Caenorhabditis elegans: one gene and its partners. The protein of the gene in region 3 purifies or fractionates together with the protein of the main gene of each other region. This does not show direct contact. Each region holds a gene or a part of one and is shown on either strand. Other genes may lie near its edges. The genes, in order: W06E11.1, rpc-25 and W09C3.4.

Region 1 (3,756 bases), on a different chromosome or scaffold from region 3:
AGCTCTATTAACAAGAGCTCTAATGCTCATTCGTGAAGCTTCAGGATCGTCCAAAAGGAGTCCATTCTGACTAATTCCATCAATTTTTTCAGCGACAGGGTCACCATCTTTCAAATGAACTTTCATCGGAATCCACATATCACTTGCAATCTTTTTCTCTCGATGTAACGCCGATGCTTCTCGTCGTTTTTTTTGTCGTTCAGTTTCAGGCCGAGAAAATTTGACTCTAACTGCGGCGGAGGATGGCTTAACGTCTTCTTCTTCTCCAGACGAATCTTCATCGGATTTTCCAGATTTTCCGTCGGATTTCTTCTTTTTATTCAACCCTTGAATTGATCGATGCATTTCGAATGCTCCAGTCAGCGGATGAATGAAGAATTCGCCGTTTTTAAAAAATCCAATTGCATTGACTATTGGGTGATCGTGGATGAATGCACGGCCTTCGTAGATCTCATCGTTGGCTCGGAGAGCACTGGAAGAATTGAAATTATGTGAAAAACACACAATTTTCGAATGAAAATTCGAAACTAGGCTCTTCTAAGTGGATAGCAGATCAAATTTTAAAAAACACTGACTTAAAATTGATTTTTCTACTCTTTTTTCAACAAATGTAACGAATTAATTAGCAATTTTTTAAATCAATTTTTTTTCAAAAAACGCAAGAAATCTGTAAATCTGTCCCTACCCTCGATTAGCAATCGAAACATTTAGCAGACCCAACCCTTTTGGTCTGCTAATTATTTAACAGACCAAATTTCAAAAAAACTCCGCATTAAGCCTCAAAAATTGATTTTTCTACGTTTTTTGCTACAAACCGAAAGCATTTTATTGAACTTTTCATTTAAAAAACGAAAGAAATCTGTAAATTCTTTGAAAATCCTCGAATTTTAATCGAAATATTTAGCAGACCCAGCCTCATTGGTCTGCTAATTGTTTAGCAGACCAACCATGGGTCTGCTAAATATTTAGCAGACCCAAAATTGGTCTGCTAATTATTTAGCAGACCCAAAATTAATCTGCTAAATATTTAGCAGACCCAACCTCATTGGTCTGCTAAATATTTAGCAGACCAACTATAGGTCTGCTAAATATATTCTTTACCTTCTACTTTTTTCAAAGCAAATTTCAGGTGTATTTTCATACTTTCAGCATCAAAAACTGTGGTAAAACCTACTCAATTCCATGTCCTTTTTTCGGGACATCTCCATCCATATACATAAGTTCTGCCTTCTTTTTGTCATATGATCCGAGTTGGGTGTCTGTCATGAAGCGCATTTCTAGCTGAAAATCAGTGACATTGAAAATTCGATCTAAAATTGATTAAATTGTGAAAAAAACGGCTACTTTTTCAGATGTTTTTGGGCATTTCTCTAAACGTTTGACAGGATTTGTTCAATTTGTTCAATAATTCTAGTGTCCTATTTTCCGATTTTCAATGAATTCAAGCCAATTTCAAGTGTTTTTCCGTACCAATCGAACATTCTTCTTATATCTGGCAATTGGAAATCGCTTTGCATCCCAGGCGTCTCGTTTGCTCGAAGGATACGAAACAGAGAACATTTCAGTATTTGGTGTGGAATTGCACACAACTACGTCGCATTCCCAAACGACTTGATCTTCAACTGAATCATCCTCTTCATCTGATAGAAATTCCGGTTTTTTGACAAGTTTTCGAATAATTTGCTCTTGTTCGTCGTCAGAAGCACCGTCTACTTCCATTTAGTATGAGATCCTGAAAAATTTGAGCGATTTGGACGGTTTATACGAATTATATATTTAAAAATCGTTTGTTTTTCCTTAGTTTTGTTGAAAAACCCCATTTTTACCTAGAAGAACACAAATTTTCCCGAAAAATTTGGAAAAATAAAAGCTAAAATGCAATTTTTTGTGTAATTAATAAGGATTTTTGTAGAAAATTTTAATTTTAGTTTACTAATATTTTTGGAGAATTTTTAGACACAATTTTTGTGAGATTCTGACTTTTTTTGCGATTTTTCTAGTTCTCTCACGGAAAACTCAGCAAAAATCTCGTCTTTCCAATCAAAAATTCCCAAAAAACCACTGAAAAATGTTAAATTTCAATCAATAAATGCCACGTGGCAAATAAATATTAACAGAAGATGTTAAAACTTCCAAAAATCGATTTAAAAAACCAGAAAAAAATTAAGAAAAAAACATTTTTAGCTAAAAAAACGAAAAATCAACAAACAAAAAGATAAATTCAACAAAAAATGTGTCAACAAGTAAATTTCAATTCATTTTTTCGATAATATTTGCAAGTTTTCTCGGTTTTCCATCGCCTTCCGTAGTGGTTCCATAGGCTTTGTTACGTTGTTGACGGCTTTCCAGGTCCAAAATTGCGGTCTTTTTGATCTTTTTCAGGCCTGGATGGACTTCTGAAGAGCCTTCAACGGGTTCTTCGCCTTCTTCATAAATAAATCCTCCTAGTACCTTGGGCTTCACCTCTTGCGGGAGAATTGTGATGGCGCCAGTGACGAAACTCTCTGAAAAAAATTGTTATTGGGTAATTTTATCAACTTTTAAGCTTAATTCTATGCTTACGAGCTTTAATATTCTTCGAGTCAGCTTCTTCCCGCTCCCTGAACGCCGGAATATGCACCATCCGCTCCTTTTTCGACTTTGGCGCAACAATAGCTCGGAAAACTCCGGATTCTGAAAAATTTCTCATAGATTTTTCTCAATAAAATACTCTCACCTGTCTTCAATTTGGTTTTCGTCAACACTTCCTCGTCGTTTGACCATTTTAGCGCCTCCAAATCTTCTAAACTAACACCAATCGGTTTTTTGATGAGGAAAACTTGAAAATCCGAGCTCTCATCGATCGTCATGTCAGCCACACCATTTCTGGCTTCTTCCTTAATACATTTAATTAAAACCAAAAAAGTTGTAATCAAGAAATTCAATTCTTACCACTTTTTTTACCCGTTTTCCAGATTGCTCTGAGTCCGAGTCCTGGTGCTTTCGTTTTTTGCCCATTTTACTGGAAAATTTTGCAAAATTTCAGATTTTTTAAAATTATAAAACACAAATATATTAAAAATAAATGCGTTTAGCGAAAAAAAATTGGAAAATCTGCAAAAAAAGGAAAAAATATGTTTCACAAAAAAGTGCGATAGGGCGCCGTTGCATACCACAAGAGACTTCACGAAATTGAGAGATTTCACATTGGAGAAATGAGGAACAACGAGTAAATGACATATAATTTTAGATTTTCTTGTTACAAAGTAAATAATTTATTTTCATTTAATAAAATCTTACATTTTATAACACTTTTACTAGGTGTTCAACTAAAAAACCTCGCGTTTATACTGTGACATTCGGAAACATGCGTTCTGCAAACAACCTTTTACCCAGAGAGAGCGTGGTCTCCTTGAGTTCTCAATTTCTATTGATTTTCTTTTTTCTCTATTTTCCAGACGGCTCACTGTTAATTTTCCGGCATTTTTCTCATTTTTTATGAATTTTCTAAAACATTTTCAACTTCAGCCGCTTCCTCACATCAAAATTAACACCAAACCCCTAAAATATCCTACATTTTTCCAGAGAAAATTCATAAAAAATGTCACATGGCTCACCAGCCCCATCGGCGTCGGTTTCCAGTGACGGCGAAGAGCCAGAAATAGACGTGATGCCGAGTAGTGACGAGGAATCCGAGCCAATATACATTCCAAAGGAGAAGGAACCCGTCGTGATTCGTGGAGTTGGAAATATCACAGTGTAGGTGGTTTTTAAGAG
Region 2 (3,579 bases), on a different chromosome or scaffold from region 3:
CGGAAGCGATATCGATTATGATATTGATGTCAATCTGTTTCCAGTCAGTATGCACTGCCATCTCGTCATTTGTCTCTTCAGTTTGGATGAAGTCGAACAGTCTTCCGTGTTGGAACATAAATTATTGAAAAGAAATTTCAATGTAGAAGAAGATGAAGGATTTATTCTAGATGTGCCAAGGCTTTACAAGAACAGAGGACATCCGAAACTTGCAATGGTGAGAAATATTATGTAATAACAAAATACAGTTTTTTTTAGAACTTCCTGGATCAATTGACCAAAAATCCTTGTTACAACAACGAAGCATCTGGTGCTTACTGGTATCTGAAAGGAAGTCTTGAAATGATGCAGAAGCATGATGATCTAGCAATGGAAGCATTCAATAAAGTTCTGATACTACAACCGGATCATATTGATAATCGTATCCATTTGTCAACTCTCCAGCAAAAATCTGGGTTTTTCGAAAAAGCCCTCGAAACCTTGGAAAATTATGACCTGGAAAACTGCTCATCGATGCCAGATGAACGTCTTCTTGCTCGTCGAGCAGACGTTTTATTCGAAGCAGGAGATTCTGAGCAGTTTGTAAGGATCACGAGAATGATGCTGGCTCCCCACTTCTACAAAGTCTATATTTCTCCAGATATTTTGAAGAAACGACGGGTTACCAAAGGAAAAACGACTAGTAAGTGAAATAACATTTTAATTGTCTTCAATACGAATTTCCAGCACCTGCTCTCAGTAATACTTTGAAAACTTGTGCTTTTGGAGTTGTTAAACATACAAATTGGGAACGCCTTGTCAAAAGGCTGGGAGCAACTGTAGAAGCCAATGGGACTTTTCAAACATCGCTTTCGGGAACAGATGTAATCATTATTCGAGCATACATTTGATTGTGTAAATTTTTAATTTTCAGATACATGACTACTGTTTGAAGTTAATCGAATGTTTAAATAAAATGGAGAAACATCAAGACGCACTCATTGTCTGTTGTTATGCATTTTTACATCCAACTCTTTTCAAAGCCGACAAGTGAGCTAATTTGTTCAAAATTTTCCACACATTACAAAATTTTCAGAATCTCCACTTTCCAGAATTTAGTATATTTTTGTGCAATCAAAGCAAGATGTTGGAATTTGGCATTTGAATATGTTAGATTCTTTCACACTTTTTCTTTGGTAACAATTTGTATCTTATTGGACGCATTTAAGTAATTTAAATTTCCAGGCAGTCAGCGATCCTCAAAATGGCTCATTCTCTGACGTTCTCCAAAAACGCCTTTTCAATGCAATGAACTACGTATTCGTCAACTCTCAGAATGTCTGCTACCATCGATTTATCATGAGAGCACTCGTCAAAGCTAAAGATAATCATGCTCTTCAAGCGATTTCAGGCAATAATTCACTTATCACGGGAACATACCGACATGCAATGGGAGAGTATCTTCGAGTATGGGTAGCCAATAAACGAAATCCACTCATCTGTATGCTGCTTGCTCTCACTTTCACTCATATGTCTTGTAAGAAGGATCTCTCAAGTAGACACCTCATCGGAATCCGAGGAATTGCTTTTATGAAGAAGTATTCAAAAGCACGGGCTTGCCAACAAGAAGTCTTTTATAACATTGCCAGAATGTTCCATCAAATGTCGATTCTCCCTCTCGCCAAACATTTTTATGATAAAGTATTGGAGGTTGATCCGCCGTGTGTGTTTGATTTTGATGAAGATGGCAATGAGGTTATTATTCCAGCAATGAAGTAAGACAATTTTAAAAATAAATTAGAAATTTCTGTCTGTAGAAATACTATTAAAATTTCAGATATGACCTGAGAAAGATGGCTGCTCACAACCTGGCTTTAATCTACCGAACATCAGGAAACAATTTCGCCGCTAGGAAAATTTATGAAAAATATCTTGTTGTTTGATTTTTTGTTGAAGAATAATTTTTGTTAATCTATCCAATGTCTGACATTGTGTGGTCTAATTTATAAGTAGCAATCCCATCGTACTTTTTTAAACAATTACTTATAAATTTTCTTTTTTATTATTTTTATTTCATTATATTTGGTTCTGAGAATATAGTTCAAGCTTCCATTCAATATCTGCTGATACTGATGCCGTATAAAAGGAAAATGTTTAATATTTACAGTATGTTCATTCTTTCTCTACTGCACGATACGGTGGCTATTCAGCCTCATCAATTGAGCTCTGATCAGCAAATTGTTATCAAAAAACGGCTCAATGAACGTCTCGCCAACAAAATTATTCCGGATCTTGGTCTCTGTATTTGTGTCTATGATATAAATGAAATTGGTGATTCGTACATTTTACCCGGCGAAGGAGATTGTAGAGCGAGAGTTAAGGTAATAAATCAATGTACAGTCGTATTTGAGAAATGAAATAAATCTTCAGTTCCGTATGATCGTTTTTCGGCCATTTGTCGATGAAGTTATTGAGGCCAAAGTGATTGGTTCATCACGACAAGGTCTTTGTCTAACAATTCAATTCTTCGAAGACATTTTTGTACCGGCGGAAAAGCTTCCAGAACCTCATGTTTTCGAAGAAGAAGGGCAAGTTTGGTATTGGGAATATGCACAGGAAGATGGAGAACCACCAGCAAAACTGTATATGGATCCAGGGAAGATTGTGAGATTCCGAGTGACGGAAATCATTTTCAAGTGAGACATTTTGTATTTCATCGAAATTAAAATATTGATTTGTTTGCAGAGATCTCAAACCAGAGTTAACACACGAAGAGAGAAAAACAGAGAAATCTATGGAAATCAAAGGTACGATGGCTAGTACTGGATTGGGATGTATTGGATGGTGGGCAGCAGAAGATGAAGATGATGAAGCGGTTGAAGACGAGCAAGATGAACAAGAAGAAGTTATACAGCCCAAAGAAGAAATTAGACAGCCTCAAGAAGAAGTTAGACAGCCTGTTAAAATTAAAGAAGAGCCAGTTTAATCAAATTTTAATTGATTATAACGGGTACACTGTTTTTACTTTTTGTTATTGTTGAATAAGTTGTTATTTTTTCGTCTTGCAAAATAAATATAAAGATAGCTTGCAAAGATCGATTATCCAATCATTATGTTTGTCTCATGATTTATACAAGTACTTCCAAAGGCGGCCTGATATTTTAATTTCAGAATGGTTTCAGAAACATGAGCGAAAAAACTCGTAACCTTATGCTTAAAAGCTCAGCTGCGCCCACCAGTAGTCAACAGTACCATTCGAACAACGTCCCACTGCCAGTCTTCCGTGGAACCAGCTTGATATCGCAACTCGAAACACAAAAATATCCGACATCCTTCACAGCGTGCTCTTCTGATTTTGACAATGTAATCATTCCATCTTGTCCAAGCATTCCGATGCCGACTCAATCCTCATCGAGTACGGATACGGCCATGGATTCTTCTACTTGAGTTTTAATAACTATCAAGTGCTTCTAAAAACATCTCTGACACCATTTTCTATTTTCAAATGTGAATAAATAATTTAATCAAGCATTTCTTCCATATTTTGCCCAAAGTTCATTTCACGGTAGCCTACCGTAAATCGACATATCGAGTATGCGC
Region 3 (3,556 bases):
ATCTCAGGGTTTTAGTTAGAAAACATGTTGATTCCAACTTGATGGAAATTATGGTGAAATTGCCAAGAATCGTCGGCAAATTGTGATTTTGCATATATCTGTTTTTTTTTGGAAATTTTAGAATTTCAAAAAATAAAAAATTACATAAAGGCACAAGTTTAAGTGTTTTCGTCTTATAGAAAAACTCCTCTAAACATTTCCGGCAAATCTGATATTCGGTAAATCGGCAAATGTACAATTTGCCGATTTGCCGAATTTGTCCTTTTTTTTTCTCGAGATGTATGAAATATGGGAGTGAGAAGAGAATTGCAAAATAGGAAGACACGAGATTCAAAATGAGGGAGTATGAGCCAAACAAGACGGAGAAAAGGCATAAGAGGAGCTCTGTGTTGAGGGATATATAATTTGTTGGAGGAGAATGACACGGAGAACACATTGCGAATATGGGATCAAACTAGAGACGCAGAGCACTGAGCAGATATCTCACAAACACCCGGTGTGTGGCAGATGGTGAGCCATTTTGGTCACTCTCTTTCCCTCTTGTTGTTCGCCTCCCTGAAAGGCAACTGCTAGCAGGCTCTGGCTACTCCTACTGACTGCTTCTTCATTGAATGCTCCTCTTTTCCATTGATGACGATTGAATATGCGAGAGACAGCCGGGGTCTCTAATACTAGGAGCCGAGTAGCATGAAATTGTTGTTGTGAAACTTATTAGAAAATGGATAAGTGTGGGGGATTTGTTGAGAATATTTTTAGCGAAAGCGAGAAATTTTAAGCTTTTGTCAGTACAACTGCGAAGTTATTTACCTCAATATGCAATATTACGGTAACACAAACCTCTTAGAATGCGTATTGTGCAACATAGTTGACGCGCAGAATATCTCGTAGCGAAAACTACAGTAATTCTTTAAAGGACTACTGTAGCTCTTTTGTCGAATTACGGGCACTATTTTCGAAATGAATTAATTTTCCAAAAGTGACAGCGATACTCATTTTCCGTCGTTTTTTTCGTATGATTCTTATCCATAAATAAATGATTTTAATTAATTTCGAAAATCGAGCCTGTAAATCAACATAAGCGCTACAGTAGTCATTTAAAGAATTACTGTAGTTTTCGCTACGAGATATTCTGCGCGTCAAATATGTTGCGCACTGGGCATTCATTTTGTGTTTTCGTAATAAAAGAAACGTTATGATATGTTTAACAAAATTTTGGATTTCATTTTTTTGATTAAAACTAACAATTCTCCAGTAATCTGAAAAATTGTCCTTTCCAAGCCAAAATAATATTTTAAATATATAACTCTTCTCATTTTCACTGATTATAATGATCAATGCATTAAAATACAGCTGCTAAAAAGCCAAACACCTTGTTTCCTTCAGATTTTCGAAAAATGGCATGTAACTCGAATGCGGCTGCCAAACCGACCACGAACAACAAAAATTCTCAAAATTTATAATTTTTATGTATATAAGCTTTTAGAAAAACATTTTTTCTATCCATTTATCTATTTTTATTATTTTATAATCTTCAGTATTAATGCTTTTAGCCACAGTCTTCATTTTCATCTCATTTTGCCATCGCCCCGCCCCGTGTGGCGACCGCGCTCTATTGCGAATCATTTTTCTCTCGCAATTTGCAGTTATTATTTCTCCCTTCAGTTTCACTATTTTCTCACAAAAATTCACCGAATAAAATGTTTTCTCTCAATAATTTTATGTTTTTTCTTATTTTTCTAATGCATATTTTAATTTTCAGCGGATAAAAATCATGGCTTCCATCAAAGAAGAACTTATAAGCGCGGCGGAAAGCGAATCGCAAGTGATGCAGATCGTTCAAGCGGCTCTCGAAGGAATTGATATGGATGCATTGACAAGTATGACACCTGGATTGCCACAAACTGTTCGTCAGACTGCGATCAATAGCCTTTTGAGCTCAAAGAAATTGGCTATTCAACAAGCGCCTGGCGGTGTGCTCCGGTTGAAAGTTAACACAAGTGAACAGATTGCGGGAACAGAAGAGGAGCAAGTGGTGAGTATTTCTTGCATCCGGAAGAAAGAAAAACTGACATTTTTCATTACAGATTTACAGTCTTATCGAAGAATCGAAGACGCGTGGAATATGGATAAAAGAACTTCGAGAAGGTTCAGGACTCAACCAGCTTCAACTTCGAAAAACATTGAAAAGTCTGGAAACGAAAAAGTTGATCAAGACTATCAAAGCTGTTGGAACTACGAGGAAGTGCTATATTTTGTTTAGTATTGAACCAGATATGTCATTGACTGGTGGAACATTCTATTCTGATCAACAACTCGATTCGGAACTCATCAATACATTGATCAGTGTTTGTGGTTCATATGCTGCCAGCAGACGAAAGCATGCGATTGATGAAAATCCGAATAATATTCAAATGCAAAGAGAAGCCAGCTATATTCGTCCTCAAGAGGTTTGATTTTTATTGATAGCTCTAAAAAAATTTTTTTTTAAACTCTAAATTGAAAATGTGAATTTTTTTAACCGGAAAATAAATTAAATTGATGTTTTTCAATTTTTTTAGCAAAAAATATGCGTAATCAATTTTAAAAAAATTTCCAGATAGCCCAATTCATCACCGAAAAACGAGTATTGAATGTTCCACTATCATTGGAAGATTTAGAAAGAATTCTCGAAGTCGCTGTGTTGGATGGAACAATTGAACGAAGAGCTGATGGAAAGATCCGTGCATGTCCACCACGTTCCAGTATTTCTCCATTAGTGTCGGTTCCGTGTGCTATTTGTCCAGTTGTCGAGGATTGTCGACCAGGATATGTGATCTCTCCTCAATCATGTGATTATATGAAAAATTGGCTGGCCGATCTGTAACTGCAGTACTCTCTAGTTAATTGTTTTGAGAACTCAGATCTTCAAAACCCGTATTTTTATTGTCCATTTTTGTTAATTTATTGATGCCTTTTTGTTGTTGATTCTCCTCTTTTTTTCTTAATTGTTAAATATTTGTTCTGAATAAAAAAATCTCATAAAAAGAGATACAAATGCTGGTTCTATTTCAGAAAGAATGGTAGGAAGTGACTAATCTTAATGTCAAACCATAATGATCGACCCTTGACGCGGAGCAGTTTTGCAAGTATGCGGCGCGGTTTTATGCATGTCATTTTTTTCTGGTTTTACAGGTTTCAATTTAAAAACCGGACTAGCCCGTAAATCGACAATAGCGCTACAGTAGTCATTTAAAGAATTACTGTAGTTTTCGCTACGAGATATTTTGCGTGTCAAACATGTTGCGCAATACGCATTCTCAGTATTGTAGGGTCCCGTAATATTAATTTTAAAAATGTTTTCTTTTTTTTTTTTAATTTTTTCCGAAATATTTTTAAAATATTACTTTTAAAAATATTTTTTTTGTCGTTTTGAAAAATAGGTACAAAACAGGAATTTTGCCCAAAAAATGAGTAAAACCGAGCGAAAAAAAATACTCACACATGTATGTCCATGTCTAGTACAAAACTCTTCGTAAATCGACATGCAAAAAACCGCGCCGCAGGCTTGCAAAACCAC

The links.
Region 1: the proteins of W09C3.4 (region 3) and W06E11.1 fractionate together in Caenorhabditis elegans (co-fractionation; one large-scale study listed by BioGRID). This does not show direct contact.
Region 2: the proteins of W09C3.4 (region 3) and rpc-25 fractionate together in Caenorhabditis elegans (co-fractionation; one large-scale study listed by BioGRID). This does not show direct contact.

Annotation. Positions count from the first base shown.
Region 1 is NC_003281.10:640,035-643,790, reverse strand, and holds the start of W06E11.1 (RNB domain-containing protein), read right to left. Parts: upstream 1,733-3,756; 5' UTR 1,720-1,732; coding exon 1,471-1,719; intron 1,282-1,470; coding exon 1,175-1,281; intron 473-1,174; coding exon 1-472. Other genes in the region: tag-267 (Major sperm protein), read right to left, coding at 2,251-2,504, 2,563-2,673, 2,717-2,876, 2,932-2,997; tag-266 (Golgin subfamily A member 7/ERF4 domain-containing protein), read left to right, coding at 3,581-3,738.
Region 2 is NC_003283.11:10,205,170-10,208,748, reverse strand, and holds rpc-25 (DNA-directed RNA polymerase III subunit RPC8), read left to right. Parts: upstream 1-2,146; 5' UTR 2,147-2,147; coding exon 2,148-2,360; intron 2,361-2,409; coding exon 2,410-2,675; intron 2,676-2,724; coding exon 2,725-2,965; 3' UTR 2,966-3,069; downstream 3,070-3,579. Other genes in the region: tftc-3 (TPR_REGION domain-containing protein), read left to right, coding at 1-217, 259-682, 727-863, 914-1,029, 1,076-1,175, 1,225-1,754, 1,817-1,922; ZK856.16 (Ovule protein), read left to right, coding at 3,166-3,426.
Region 3 is NC_003279.8:4,702,851-4,706,406, forward strand, and holds W09C3.4 (putative DNA-directed RNA polymerase III subunit RPC6), read left to right. Parts: upstream 1-1,753; 5' UTR 1,754-1,771; coding exon 1,772-2,032; intron 2,033-2,084; coding exon 2,085-2,447; intron 2,448-2,596; coding exon 2,597-2,863; 3' UTR 2,864-3,035; downstream 3,036-3,556. UniProt on the Caenorhabditis elegans protein: DNA-dependent RNA polymerase catalyzes the transcription of DNA into RNA using the four ribonucleoside triphosphates as substrates. Specific peripheric component of RNA polymerase III which synthesizes small RNAs, such as 5S rRNA and tRNAs.